Linked DNA regions of Diceros bicornis minor. The protein of the gene in region 1 purifies or fractionates together with the protein of each later gene. This does not show direct contact. Links are inferred from orthologs where the notes say so. Each region holds a gene or a part of one and is shown in the gene's direction. Other genes may lie near its edges.

Evidence for each region.
Region 2: the proteins of RNF146 (region 1) and LIG3 purify together in Homo sapiens (co-immunoprecipitation; 3 studies listed by BioGRID and IntAct, counting the BioPlex papers as one, with this or other methods). This does not show direct contact. The link is inferred for Diceros bicornis minor from reciprocal best matches to the Homo sapiens genes RNF146 and LIG3.

Annotation. Positions count from the first base shown.
Region 1 is NC_080762.1:10,388,372-10,396,276, reverse strand, and holds the start of RNF146 (E3 ubiquitin-protein ligase RNF146), read left to right. Parts: upstream 1-4,754; 5' UTR 4,755-4,843; intron 4,844-5,583; exon of another isoform or gene 5,584-7,027; intron 7,028-7,905. UniProt on the Homo sapiens protein: E3 ubiquitin-protein ligase that specifically binds poly-ADP-ribosylated (PARsylated) proteins and mediates their ubiquitination and subsequent degradation. May regulate many important biological processes, such as cell survival and DNA damage response.
Region 2 is NC_080757.1:23,607,455-23,614,951, forward strand, and holds the start of LIG3 (DNA ligase 3), read left to right. Parts: upstream 1-4,373; 5' UTR 4,374-4,465; intron 4,466-5,132; exon of another isoform or gene 5,133-5,386; intron 5,387-6,510; 5' UTR 6,511-6,514; coding exon 6,515-7,064; intron 7,065-7,497. UniProt on the Homo sapiens protein: Isoform 3 functions as a heterodimer with DNA-repair protein XRCC1 in the nucleus and can correct defective DNA strand-break repair and sister chromatid exchange following treatment with ionizing radiation and alkylating agents.

The DNA of each region.
Region 1 (7,905 bases):
CATCTAGCAGTTTCATCTTCAGGCTGGTTTTCCTCGTGGTAGCAATATAGATGAGGCAGCTCAAGGTGCAACACCTGCACTCAATGCCATCCAAAAGAGGAGAGGGGCTGTATCCCAAAACTTTTGGCAAAAGTCCCAGAATTTTACATGGTAGCACTGTCTTAGGTCAAATGTCCACATCTTACAGTCACTAGCCTGGGGTTGGTATGTACTCGTTGACTTAGTCCAGTTCACATGCTCCATTTATAAGAATGGAGTAGTGTTTCCCAAAATCTCATGCACCCCCTATGGAGATCAGGGGCAACAAGGAAGAACAAATGAAGAAACTCAATTCTGGTCAGAGTAGCAGTGACTTCCTTGTCTGTTGATGCCCAGCCTCACACTGGCACTTCTATATTCTGCTTTATATCCAAGGGAGCTGGAAAAGGTCATTTTCCAGAATCCACCAACCATTGGTTTCCTGTATTTCTACCAATGGAAGACACCCGAAGGTGCACGGGAGAAGGTGATTCTTTTCTTGTTCCTTGCTCTGGCAGTGGCAGGGGTAGGTGACTGCTGGTGGCCATGAGTTCCTGGATTCCTGCAGCCTCTGAGCATATGGGGTCCTGGCTTCCCATTGTAGCAGTTCAAACAGAAATGCTCCAGCAGCCTCAGGGAGCACGTGAGTAGGCTCCTGGGACACCAGTAAAGCCTCTGCTCCTCCAACCTTAGGACAGCTAGTGACTTTCTGCAGTTACTGATTTCAGAGTATCCTCATCTTCCTTTTAAGGCTCCTCCAGTTTTATGTAATACTTTTGCAACCAATTCACCGCATTAAATTCCCTTTGTTTGAAATACTTAAGGTGGTTTCTGTTTGCTAAATAGGACCCTGACTGATACACTGCTGTGAAAAATGCTTCAAGTTTCTAGGTTATAATTGTATTAAACCAATAATGGATATGCATATCATTCCATAAACAAATAAATAAATGACCAAACGTACATGATTATAAAACAATTTAATGTTGACTTCCTAAATCCTAACCATTTTGAGAAAAATGTGGTATTGCAAAACATATTTGCTGCCTGTACAACTGTAAGCTATTTCCTTTATGTAATAGAGTGCACTAAGTGTCAGTTTTATTAAAATAATAATCTAGTTTTAAAATAAATGATTCCATCAAAAAATAAAATATAGCATTTATTCTTATCTTTCAATATCTTTCAATTCTTATCTTTCAATATATTTAATCTTATCTTTCAATTCAGTGAGAGGTCATGTCATCTAATGAAACAAACGTGGACTTTGGAGATAATATAATAGCTAATATTGTCAATATAAGGCATCTAAAAATCAATACATATATCATGTATACACACAACCAGGGTTAGGAACGGCATGATTGACTTTACAATCAAACTGTAAAATCTGACTCAGTGACTGTTTTGTGTTGGGCTATTTCTCAGGCATACAATTATCATAATTCAGTTGTAACTTCTGAGGCTGCAGTAGAAACACTGAAAACCAGTCAAAGAGAGAGCATTGATTATCACATTAGGTAAAGGAAAAACACAAGCAAAATTGTCTACTATGGTATTATTTACAAAGGAATTCTACTAGAAAAGTACCTATTATTTGATTACTGTAAGTAGGAAAACAGCAAATGGTAGGACGGAGACCAAGTGATGTATCAGCTCTTGGAACAAAATCTTCAATTGAAATGTAAAAGTCTGCTTTCCAAAACTTCCCTTTGGCTTAATTTCTATTCATCTGCTAGCTATAATGACTGGTGCATTCCTGAATCTGGTTTGCTCTGTTTCCAGACATATGAGAAAGTTGTGACCACAGTTATCAGATGATTGCTGGCAAGTGGGAAGAAATCGAGCTTACGGTTGGTACACAAAATAGCCCCAGATCAGTGTCCTCAAATTTTTTGGTCTTGGGATCCCTTTATACTCGTAAAAATTACAGAAGACTCAAAAGAACTGTTGTTTACATGTATTAATCTATCAATATTTACCAAATTAGAAACTAAGACTGAGAACTGTTTAAAATATTTATAAATTCATTTAAAAATAATAAGCTCATTAAGTACAAAAATAACTACATTTTCCAAAATAAAGATAACTTAGTGAGAAGAGCAGCATTATTTTGTTTTGCAAATCTCTTTAATGCCTGGCTTAACTGATATAGCCAAATTCTAATCTCAGCTTCTACATTCAGTCTGTTGGTACAACACATATTATGTAGCCTCTAGAAAACTGCACTGTATGAGAGAGAGAGAGAGAGAGAGAGAGAAAGGCAGCTGGAGTCTTAGTATTATTATTGAAATAATTTTCATCTCTGGGGTCCTCTGAAAGGATCTCAAGGATCCTCGGGGAACACTGGAAAACACTTTGAAAACTACTGCCCTAGATGAGTTACATCAATGGTTTTCAACACATTTTCCACTGTAACACATATAATTTTCTCATGCGTGTTTTCATGGATGTCTTCAGATATTAACTAAACGAAAAGAATATTTTGAAATTAAGGAAAACAAATAACTCAAACATTTTTGGGTGTTGGGAGGATAGTATGGGGAAGAGGTGATGGCTGGAGATGTGCGGTATTCATGAAAGCATTTTATATACTTGTGGGAAAGAGACAGTGGGTTATGAATAGCGAGCAATTCCTTGCAGTCTGTTGCAACTCCTTTATGTTTGATTCAATGAAGCAAAATAGAATGCCAGTGACAGTAACATTATTACAGAGATACCCTGAATTTGTTAGACTCTGATTTATTTCTTTAAGTAAATCACTTGAAAATTTGGACAGTTTAACAATTACTGGAAACCAATTACTTTTAAAACACTTCTGACAATGTTGAGAGGCGCTGTCCTGTATTATTCATAGAGAGAAACTCATCACTGTCTCTCAGGTGACTGGTGGAGATCGGGTGCATACGATTCCATACACTTAGTTCTCCTCTTTATACACAATTACTGACAAATAAGTTCTTATTCATTTATATATTATTTGGTATATAAATGTGTGTGCACATATTCTTTTGTTCATTCGACACATATTTATAGAGAGCCTCTCTAAAGCGTCAGGCACTATTCTTGGCAGTTGGGATACAAAATAGAATACAAATTACTGCTCTCAAGAGATTTATGTTCTAGTGTGGAGAAACACACAATAAAGATGAAAAAGCAAACTAAATCATCCTTATGTTGTGGTAAGTATTAGTGAGCAAAAGTAAAGGAGGGGCATAAGAGATACTGGGAGTGGGTGATGTCATGATTTAAAATAGGGTGGCAAGCAGAGGACTGACTGAAAAGATGGCATTTGAGCACAGACAGAGGGAGGAAGCATGTTCTAAGCAGAGGAAACAGCAACTGCAAAGACTGAGGTCGAAAGCTTATGTAAAGTCGTTTTGGAACACAAGGCTGAGTGAGCAGTTTGGGAGTCAGAGAGGCAATGGTTTTTACTTTGTATTGGGAAGCCATGGGAGAGTGAACAGAGGAGCAGTACGATCTGACATCCTTCTTCATAAGTTTACTTTGGCTTCAGTGTTGTGAATAGACTCAAAGAACAGCAAGGACAGAATCAAGAAAACCAGTCCCTGGGTTATTGCAATAATCCAAACAGATGATGTAGCCTGTAGTACAGGTGGCAAGTAGTCAGATTCTGGATGTGTTTTGAAGGAAGAGCCAACAGATTATTTGCAAAATGGATATGGAACATATGAGAAAGAGAGGAATTAACGATGAGTTTGGATAGGGAAAGATGGAACTATTCACTGAAATGACTAAGATTATGAATGTGGCTGAGGGTATGAAGCCTAGAAAGGCATTTTAGTGGGACTCCTGTTGATTAACTCCTTTAATTAACTGCAGATAGAATATAAATTATAATATTCATTTAGAGAAACTGTTCTAAACATGTGCCTAGAGCAAGTGAAGAACGGTGAATAACTTTTCCTATATTACAAGTATTTACGGATCAGGAAACATATCGGTGTTCTGATCCGGCCTCTATCTTGAACAGGAAAGTCTCTAAGCAAGTCGTTTAACCTTGTTATATCTATTTTTTAATTGATAAAATGAAGAACTGGACTACGTGAACTCTTACAGTGGCTGCCTGCCTCCACAGCCCAGCTGTGCCTGTCTCTGTAAAGTGGGAATAACAAGAGTACCTACCACATAGTTTATTGCCAGCGAAAACGTGTAAAGCACTTAGAACAACGCCTTGCACACTGTTAATGTTAGTATTATACCTTCAGTTACATATCAAATTTTTGCTATTATCTGTTCATGGGGTGTGTAGCATAGACGGATGATAACTTGGAATGTCCTAAAGGTACTTTTTTTTTTTTTTTTTGAAAGAGAACAAGCAGTACTTTGCCAAGGACTCTTCACCCCGAAATCCGGCCAGGCGCGCCCAAGGGCTTCTTCTGGATCTCCAAGCTGGGTTTCTGAGCAGCACCACCTGCTGGTCCCACACGCGCTTACCTCCTCGGCTCCAAATCTCTCTCTGGTAGACCTGCATTCTTTCAGAGTCTTCCGCACCTAATTACAAATTACAAAAATTGCAAACCAAAACATAAAGCAGCTAGAACAATCCAGGCAGCGAAATCGCAGGTCCCCCAAGGCAGGAGCAGGCGGTCCCCCGCGGCGCGCTCCGGGGCGGGGCGGGGCGTGGGGAGTGGGGCGGCGGGGCGGGGCTGGTGCGAGCTCCCGGGCGTGCGGCGCTGCTTCCGCCCCGCGCGGCCCCGCCCCCGCGACGGGCGGTCACGTGACGGCCGCGCGCGTCCCCGGCCGCTGCGGGCTCTGAGGCCGCAGAGAAGACTGCGAGGCGCCCGCGGCCGTGGCCGGAGAGGTGGGAGTCGGGGCGAAGCCCTCGCGGGGGCAGGGCGAAGTCTGCCACTCCGGGACCCTGACTTGGGGGGAGGAGTGAGGGCCCGCGGTGTCACCTCCCGTCGCGACGCGCTCCGGGTGGGCCCTGCGCGCCGGCCTGAGGGGCGGCGGCGGCGGGGTCAGGGGCCGGGACGTCGGTGGACGCCCTTGGGCCGGCGCGGCCGCGGCTGTGGGCGCCCGGGCGGGAGGGGACGGCGCAGGCCTTCCCGCCGCCCCCACTGGGGCTGCTGTCGCAGGCGAGAAGACTGTGGCGGGCTCCGCGCTGTCCCGGCCGCCGCAGCCCGTGCCCTGGGCGACGGCCCGGAGCTGGTCACGGTCGGGGTGCGAGAGGCGGAGCAGCGGCCATTACTGCGCAGCCTCTTCCGCCGGGTCCTCGTCGCTGCCTTGAGCGGCAGCCTGGTCTTCTCCTCTCCCCTCGGTGGTGTTGTCAGGCCTGTGCCCGGGGACCTTTTGGCCTCAAGACTTAGGGGCGGCGATGGTTTGAGGGTGTCCTGCTCCCTGTTTCGCGTGTGGAGGCCTCCGTCCGGGCCTTGGGTCAGATGGCAGCCGGTCCCTGTGTTTTGTCCTCTTCCGGAGTGTCTGTGGCTGTTTCGTTCTCTTCCCCGTCTCTCTCTTTTTTCCTCCTGCTCAGCGTCTGGGTCTGCCCCCATCCGAAGAGCAGCCCCTCCACCTTGTCCTGGTTAAACCCAGCGCTGCATCTTCTTCGTCGTTTTGATGGTTACTAAAGCATCGGAAACATTAAGAGCTCTCTCCGTACCCGTTGAGCCTCCGAAACCTCAGTGCATCTTCAAGCGGAGGCTGTTGCTTTGTTCTTCTGGTTGCTGGGTGCGGAGTTCTCTCCCTACCCCCATCCCGTCTGAACGAGTGCGGGTCTTCCTTGTCGCTATTTCGTTGTCCCTAGACGTCTAGAGAAAGGCTGCAAAATTGTGTTGAGTTCACACACCCATTCTGGCAACTAGATCCTTTTTTCCTTGTTAGCCGTTTTCGTATATGTTTTTGTGTCTTTTCCCTAAGTGCCATTTTAGTGAGCACTTATTTCTCAAGTTTCGAAAGTACGTAACATTTTGTTCAAGTAATATTTTTGTAATATTACAGTGTGAAATTGAGGGAGAAGAAAGCCAAGAAATGATTGAAAACGCTTTGTCTTTGTATGATGGACGTTTCAGGAGCTGGGGCACAGCCCTCCTTTCCAACGTGTTTACTTTTTAAACGGGATGTGAAAGTATAAGATTGGCATTGAAAACAGTATATCGTTACAGAAATTGGAAGACTTAAGACTGTTTTTGTCTTTTTAATAAGTGAATCTATATTTAGACTTTTAAAGACGTGGCATATAGGACACATGAAGAAAATGACCCGAAAAAATAACAGGATTTATGATGTTAGCTTTGCCCTTTTTGTCACCATCAAATATTGTTTATGTTGAGTGTCTGGGTGCTCTAAAACCACATGAAAATAGGTCAAGTAATGTTATTTTACAGAGAAAACTGGAAGAGTGAAAGCCACTCTAGAAGCAGATTTCAGATGTGTTTGTTTTAGCCTGTATATCTTAAATTGGAGCATTTCATTAAGCCTGATCTTTTGATCTTTGATTTAGAATTTATGCTTTAGATGGACCAATGTAAGTTGTGGGCAAAATGAAAACAATGGTCAACATTTGAAGGTTTTTATTATTTACTGGTTGTTAAAATTTGGTGGAATTATAATCATCAGGAAAAAATGTTTTTCCAACTAGCTGATCATTAGACAAGGGAAGAAAAAAAGAAATGGTGTTTTTTCTTTTCGGAGACGTGTGTCAGCTGGTCAATATTTTGTTTCGGTTTCCACCAACTTGAGTTGTCAGAAGAATGGGGGTAGAATATTTTTGAAAGGATCCAAAAATGATTTCTTGATGCTATAGAAGAAAAAGATAGTATTCAATCTTTTCACAGTGTTAGTCTATTCAAAGAATATTATTTTGTGTATTAGCCATTTACTAGCTTGAAACACCTGATACACTGTCAGTTGAGTATTTGAATGCTTTTTTTTTTTCCCCAGCGTTAGTAACAGAAGGTGCTGGGCCATTTTCATTCTCTTGCCTCATTTCTGATTGTGCCTAAGGAACCGGAATTTGTGAAACAGGCTGGATTAGGAACAATCTTTGTGGGTATGGAAACCATCTTATTAACATTCTGCTACAACTACCTGTGCTTATTTATGGACTATTTAGTGTTCATGGCTTATTACTTTTGGGGTTAATTAAAACAAAACCTGTTGTTAAATGCCTGTTAATTAAAGTATTTAGAATTTAGACTTACAGAAATATAGAGTAGGGTGAAATGACTGAGACATGGGAGCTATGACTTGACCAAGGTCACACAGATAATTAGCAGCAGAGCCTTTCTTATTTACATAATGGTTTCAGGCTATGAAACTGCTGTTTGATGTGATTAAAAGACAATATTTGTTTACATTCATATTTCTTGTTTTGTTAAAATACAAAGCCCATATTTTGGGGGGGGGGGGATGTAAAGGTTTAATGCTTGAGTATGAAGATTGTGAAGGCCATAGATTGCCATGCAGTAATTTTTTCAAGGGAAGTGCTATACAATAAGGGAAATAATTCTTTAAAATAGAGTAGTGTAAAGTATTGGGCCCCATTTAGTTGAAATGAGTTTTAACTGAAGACTTGTTTGCAAGTATGACCTGTTCTTTCTGTAAGCCAGTTTTAGCAGAGGATGAGAGGGAAAGCTAAAAATGGAAACATTAGGGCATTTAGTTACATCTCTCAATTTGGGACTCTTTCTTAAGAAACGTTAAGGTGTATCTGTTAAATTACACCCAGTTTCTCTATCCTTCTTTTACTGGCCCTTGTGGTTTTTTTTTTTTTTTTGAGTTTGTGTACCATGAGTTGAAAGGTTTGCAGTATTTTTCTTTTCTGTCACTGATAGCTTTTATATAGAACATTTCCTGTTTTGTGTATTTTGAGTAAATAAAGAGGAAAAACTACTTTATTAAACATCAGCTGTTAGTAATTGGAAAAAA
Region 2 (7,497 bases), on another chromosome or scaffold:
AGCTCCTCTCAGCTCTATCCTACCCCAACCTGGCAGCTGCAGTACAAAGATATTCAAAGGAGAGGCCAAGAAATCCCTCTGGTTAAGAACCAATCTCCACAGCTTTATTGAGAATGAAGAACCATGAGCTGATTTGAATTATTACATCTTCCTACAGCTGTTCCCTTTAAATATTTATCCTGGCAAACACCACTATCATTTTTTACAACTTATTTTATTTTTATTTTATTTATTTATTTTTTTTGTGAGGAAGATCAGCCCTGAGCTAACATCCGTGCTAATCCTCCTCTTTTTGCTGAGGAAGACTGGCTCTGAGCTAACATCTATTGCCAATCCTCCTCCTTTTTTCCCCCAAAGCCCCAGTAGATAGTTGTATGTCATGGCTGCACAACCTTCTAGTTGCTGTGTGTGGGACGTGGCCTCAGCATGGCTGGAGAAGCGGTGCGTTGGTGCGCGCCCGGGATCCGAACCCGGGCCACCAGTAATGGAGCACATGCACTTAACCGCTAAGCCACAGGGCCAGCCCCAACTTATTTTAATTGTGTGACTATTAAGCAAACCAAACCGTAAAATCGGCTCTTGGTGCTGAGATTTATGTGATTCAAAGACCAGCGCTTATTAAAAAAGGAATCCACTGAGCTCAAACTAGCCTCACGAGTGCCCTGCACTGTCTCTAGGAAGGTGTGAAGTCTTTTCTCTGTTCCCGCCAGTGGCTGCCAAGCTTCCAGTGAGTAGCATAAAATCCGAACAGAATCCACCCATTTCCCTGTGATTTTTTTTTCCTTCTTCTTAACAATCCTAATGAGTCTAAACTGGAAGTCAAGGATGCTACAGTCTTAAAGGGAGTGGCAGAAGCTCTGAGAGGCTCACAAACACATCAGTGGCTGGAGGATTTAGGATCAAGGTCTGAGGGAAAGACTTAATCGTGGGACTTTGAATAACTGGGAACAGGCAGGAGGTATCCTGCTTATTCGTCACCAAGATAGTTCTTGATTTGGATCATGGAACTATTTTGAGACTCCAATAGATGCTCTCCCTCCAAAAATGCACTTACACACAAATATTTATATAAAATTTCAGGGAGTTCAAGGACACCCGTGAGCCCATCCACAGATTCCCTAGGGATCCAGAAACCCCAGGTTACTTCTTACTACTTTCACTGTTACCACCCAAATTGCCCACATTTCTCCCCTATATTTTTACAGTAGCTATCCTAACTCATCTCTCAGTTTCTCTACACAGCAGCCAGAGTGATAACCATCCTGTTAAAACCTAAGTCAGATATGTTACTTCTCTGCTCAGTACAATCCACTAGTTTCCCATTTCACCTGCAGTAAAAGCCAACATCTTGACTGTGGTTTACAAGGCCCTACAGGATCTGTCTCCAGACACCCTGCTGACCTCATCCCCAGCTCCTCTCAACCTTAACTCCTGCTGCTCCAGCCACACCCAGCTCCTTGCTCATCTCCCAACACGACAGACTTCCTGGCCTCTGGACCTTTGCCCGCTGCTCTCTCTACCCTAGAACTCCACGTGGCTCTCCTTCAAGTCTTTACTCAGTTGTCACCTTGTTGGTGAGGCCTTCCTGACCACTGTATTGAACACTGCAACCCCCACCCCGCCCTCCCTGGCACCTCCTATCCTCCTCCTCTGCTTTCTTTTTCTCCGTAGCACCATCATCACCTTACACACCATGCATTTTACTTACTGTTTATTATCTGTCTCCCACACTAACCTGTTAGCCCCACAAGGGCAGGGATTTTTTGTCTGCTTTGTTTCACTGCTGCATTCTGTTCCTGGCACAGTGCCTACATAGGGCAGGCACTCATAAATACTGCACTGATTGATGACTCACTGAATGGATAAACTGCAGTGGTAAGGATGTATCCAGGCTGGGGAGTGGAGGGGAATATACATTTACTGAAATTCCTCTAAATGCCAAGCAGTTTGCAAGTTAATATAAGCCATCTCATTTAACCGTCACACACAATCCTAAGAGGTATTTTTATCCCCATTTCACCATGAAAACTGAGGGCCAGAGAAGTTAAGAAAACAGAAGAAGGTTACACAGTCAGGGGTGGAATATAATTCAAACCTAAGTCCATGTGATTTCAAAGCCCTGCTATTCCCACCACCCGTTACCTCATTTTCCTCGGCAGCAGTTCCCAGTTCTCTAAGGAAACGCAACTGCCAACTTTCACACCCAGTTACATTTTACAGTGGGAGGCCTGAGTCAAAGAGATCATTAGAGGTTCCTTGGAGCTCGAATCAAGCAAAACAAACAGCGAGAGCCTGAGTCCTTTTGCATATTTACATCAAACATTGTCAAAGATACAATGTAATGAACACCCTTCTGAGGGAGCTTATCACTTTGAGAGTTTCATTCATTCATTCCATTCACTTATGGGTTTCATTCATTTATTCATAAATATTTGCTGAGTGCCTACCATCTGCCCAGTGCTGTTCTGGGCACTGAGGATAAAAAGATGCATAAGGCACAGATGTCACCCTCCACAAACAGCTCTGAAGTCTAGGGCAGTGCTGTCCAATAAAAAAAGCACAATGTGAGCCAAGTATGCAGTTTTATATTTTCTAGTCACCACATTTTTAAAAAAGTAAACAGTTGAAATTAATTTTAATAATATATTTTTATCAAACCCAACACCTCCAAAATATCAACTTCCACATGTAACATAAGTATATGTTAATGAGATATTTTACAGTGTTTTTTTTGTTTGGCAACACATCTTCAAAATCAGTGTGTATTTTACACCTCTAGCACATCTCAATTCAGACTAGCCACACTTCAAGAAAGCCACACGTGGTTCGTGATGACAGCGCAGGGCTGGGTAAAAAGACAGATACAGTCAAGAGGATTTTCAAAACAACGTAGTAAATGCCGTGATAGAGATATGTTCAGTATCGCTCAACTGCCAGAGTTAGGACTTGACCCTCCAGTGACCTTCCAATCCCAAAGACCTTGTCCATTCTGTGGCACATTAAAAACTTTCCTCACTTCACACAGGGGGACTGTGGTTGGCCGCAACCAACCAAACTTAATATATTCAAAACAAAACTCATCCTTTTACCCCAAATACATCCTCCTCCTCCCCTCTCATTTTCCTATTTCAGTTGAAGCCACCATTATCTACCTGCTCGCTCAAATCATCCTCATCTCATCTCTAAATGAGCATTTTATCAAGAAGATAATTTAACTAAATGCTTATCAAAAAATGCACCTTCCTCTCCACCCCAAATAACAGAGCTTGTCTAGGCCACTTTCATCTCTCACGTGGCTCACTACAAGAACCTTCTCCCACCCCACCCAGTTTTATTGAGATATAATTGACAGACACCACTATGCAGTATGAGTTTAAGATGTGCAGCATTATGGTCTGAGTTACATATATTGTGAAATGATTACCGCAGCAAGTTTAGTTAGCATCCATCACCTCCTACAGATACAATACAAAGAAAAAGCAAAAAATTTTTTCCTTAAAAATATGGAATGCTTCACGAATTTGCAGTCATCCTTGCGCAGAAGCCATGCTACTCTCTGTATCTTTCTAATTTTAGTATCTGTGCTCCTGCAGGAGCACCAAGAACCTTTTAATTGATTCCCTTGCCTCTCCCCGGTCTAGCTTCAACAGTAGTTACTATTCCATAAGGCCCTTCATGGCTCTCCATCCCCTCCACATTAAAGGCCAAGTTCTTTTTCACATAGCACAGAATTCCCTCCAGGATCTGATCTTTGCTTACCTAACACTGTCCAATTGTTTGCCTTTCCTAGACCCTGAACAAGTTCACTTACCTTCTCTGAGCCTGCTATTCTTTTGTAAAAATAGCCATCCTAATCTCTACACAATCAAGGGGTTACTCTCCCCATCATTCCTTTACACTTTATATCTCTCTATCCAGTACCTCTTTTCAATTCAATCATATTTACTGAATATTTACTATGAGCTGGGCACTGCGCGGGACACAAGGCAGAGGGATTACAGAAAAATAGATTGAATGACGCGGTCTTTGCCTTCCCCGTGCTTATTACAATGTAGTTTCTCAATCAGTATCTTTAAGGACTAGATAATCTCTAACGTTATGAGCAAATCAGAGGACCCTCAGAAGCTCAAGCCGGGCTGCGTCGCCGGGCGCCACCACGTCCCCGCAACTCCACGGCGATCGCAGATAAGCAACCACCCCCACGCTCCCAGACCCAGCCCACAGGCTCACTCCGCCCCACCGGACCACAGCCCACGTGGCAGGCGAGGGGCGGGGAGAAGCGTGGCGCGGCGGGGGGTGGGGGTGTGTGTGGGGGGGGGGGGGTGGCCTGGACCTTTGCGCCTGCGCGCTGCGCCAGCTCTAGGACCCGGATTTAAAGAGACAGGCGCTACAACCGTCGTGGCTGCGCGCGGCCTGCGGGCGGCGGGTCAGAGGCCTGCGGTGTGCGCCGGAGCCAGGAAAGCAGGTGAGGGGCGGCGCGGCGGGACCGGGCAGCGGGGAGAGAGGCGGCCGGGGATCCGGGGCTCGGCGCGGCCCGGAGCCGCTCCTCGGTTCCTCCCCCGCCCGCGGAGCCCCGGGCACACCCTCCGTGACGTGGCGGCCCCCCGGGAGCCCACGGGGGTTGGCTCGCCGCTCCCCGGGACCCCCACGGGCCGCGCAGGGAGGGTGCCCCCGCCCACCGCTCGGGCCGCGCCGGAGTCGGGGCGCTTCGGGAGGCGTTCGGGAGCCTTTACCTTCCCGCCGCGTCCCGTTCCCCGGCCCCGGGCTGTGTCCTCGGCCCCCGGCCGGCCCGAAGCGAGGGACGCGCTTCCCCGCCTCCCTAGCGGCCAGTAACGCTGCCCACTCCGCCGAAAGCGGTCAGGCCCTCCAGGAAAGGCGGCCGCCGGGCTGTCACTTCCCGGCCCGGCGCGGCTCGCCGGGCCTGCGTTCAGGCCTCAGCGGTTCCTAGAACTCGCCTCCCTTTGAGGAAATGCAGACCGCAGCCGTTGGGGGTTGTGGGACAGATGGTTTCCTCAAAGCAGCGTTGTGCCTCCGCGCCCCAGCGCCTCCCGGGCCGGCCTGCGGAGGGTGGGGCGCCGCGAGGGCGCTCCGCTCGGCTCCTAGGATCACGGGGGCGGGTGGCTCCTCCGAGGAAGGTGTGGAGACCTGAAGTGTTCTGAGCTCCCCTTACGGGCCTGCCATACTCGCACCTACCTCACCTCTCTGGTTCTTGAACTTCTGCGGGTTATAGAACCCCTTTGTGAATTTCATGAAAACCATGGACCTTGTCTCCGAAAAAATGTACATATATGAATGTGCACATTTTGTATGCGTTCTCAGGGAGTCAGAGCCCCCCCACCAGCCCATCATCCATGGATTCATTTTAATTTTCCCAGCCATCCGTGAGGTAGGTATTATTTTCCGTTTTAGAAATAAGAAAACTGAGACTCGGAGGGGGTAATGTAGTCCCTACACTGGACGGTCACCCTTGCACTCCCATCGGTGATTCCCATCCACGCGCTCTCCTCTGCATGGTGTTGCGCTGCAGTAGATAAAGCCTGCTTTTCGTTGTAACCCAGTAGCGATTTCACGACAAAGCGGTGTGCATGCTGAGAATAATTTCCAGTATATTTCAATTTGGAACTGTGAAGATACTTTGGAAAATATAAGAAGGTGAGGGGAGACCATGCAGATATGATCCCTATTTCCATTTGGGTTGATTTATCAGTTTCTTTGATTCTTGCCATCCAGTTACTTCAGCATTCCCTGATTCAAGGTGCTGAATTATAAACAGGCTAATTGCACATAGGGAGCCTCTGCTTAAAGGATAGCTGCTTCACTGATTATAATAGGAGCCAGTATTTACTGAGCTCCTGTGTGTGCGCAGCTCTGTTCTAAGGGCTTTACCCTTAGAATGACAACCCCTTGAGTTAGGTACTAATATCATCCACATTTTACAGTTGAGGAAACTGAGGAACAGAGAGGTTAAGTAACCTACCAAGGTCACGTAGCTAATGAGCTAGTATTTGAACCCAAGCAGTCTGTTCTAGGCTCTGTTTAGTTGCTTCTCAAAATAGGGCTTCTGATTAAGTCACAAATCTATATAGTGGCTTATTTATTTTCTGAGGATGGCATGTATGTTATACTTCACGTTAAAAACTTCATGAACATAATGTCATTTTTATTGGTGATTAAAAAGAAACTTCAGGATCTTGTAATACTTAAGGATCATCATCCATTATGATTATCAGATATTGCTGATGGCTGGAGAAAAGCTTTTACGTTATTTGGATTCTCTTGATTGTGATTTACTAGATATACATGTGTACATTAGATCATTGAACATTCTTTTTGCAAACTGAATTTCCCTGTATCGGAACTCTTCTTCATCCTGTAGGCAATAAATCTTTAATACTTTGGTATGCGTTTGATTAGTCAGCATGGACTGTATTAGGACTTTGACCTTTGAGAAAATTGGAAGCCTAGCTCCTTGTTTGTATCTCACCTTTTCTGACTCACCCTTTCATGCAGCTGTATGACTTTGGCTTTCAAGATCCTCTTCCCACCAACCCTCCGAGCACTCAGCCGAAAAGAACTGTGCCTAATCCGAGAACAACATCACTGGCCTGACATCAGACAATTCAGCCATTGGTCGAAAACAGATCTGCTTCATGGGCGCTGCTTCCTCCAGAGAAGAAAGCCATTTCTGTCATTTCAGGAAGGCAGTCTAAGACCGCGTGCCACCTGCCTTGTTTACTTGCCAAGGTTGCATGTGGGACTCTGCAGTGGCCCCTGTGAGATGGCTGAGCAACGGTTCTGTGTGGACTATGCCAAGCGTGGCACAGCTGGCTGCAAAAAATGCAAGGAAAAGATTGTGAAGGGGGTGTGCCGAATCGGCAAAGTAGTACCCAATCCCTTCTCAGATTCCGGGGGTGATATGAAAGAGTGGTACCACATTAAATGCATGTTTGAGAAACTGGAGCGGGCCCGGGCCACCACGAAAAAAATTGAGGACCTCACGGAGCTGGAAGGTTGGGAAGAACTGGAAGATAATGAGAAGGAACAGATAAGCCAGCACATTGCAGGTGGGGTAGAGAACACTTTCTCATCTTAAGTGCTGAGAGAAAAAGGGATAAGGAGAGTCGAGGCCAATTTTTTTTCTTTCTTGTTTTTTTTTTGTTTAACTTTTTATTTGGAAATAATTTTAAACTCACAGAAGAGTTGTAAGAATAAAAATAATACAAAGAATGCTCATATTCCCTTTACCCAGATTTACCTATTGTTAACATTTTCTCTCTTTGCTTTGTCTTTTGTGTTCATGTGCACTCTGTTACTCTCCCCTTTCACACAGAGGTTTTTTTTCCTGAACCATTTGAGAGTAGGTTGCATACATCATGGCCCTTTGCCTTTAAATAGTAAATGTACATATCTTAAGAATAAGAATATTCTAGGGGGCTGGCCCTGTGGCGCAAGCGGTTAAGTGTGCACGCTCCGCTGCGGCGGCCCTGGGTTCGCCGG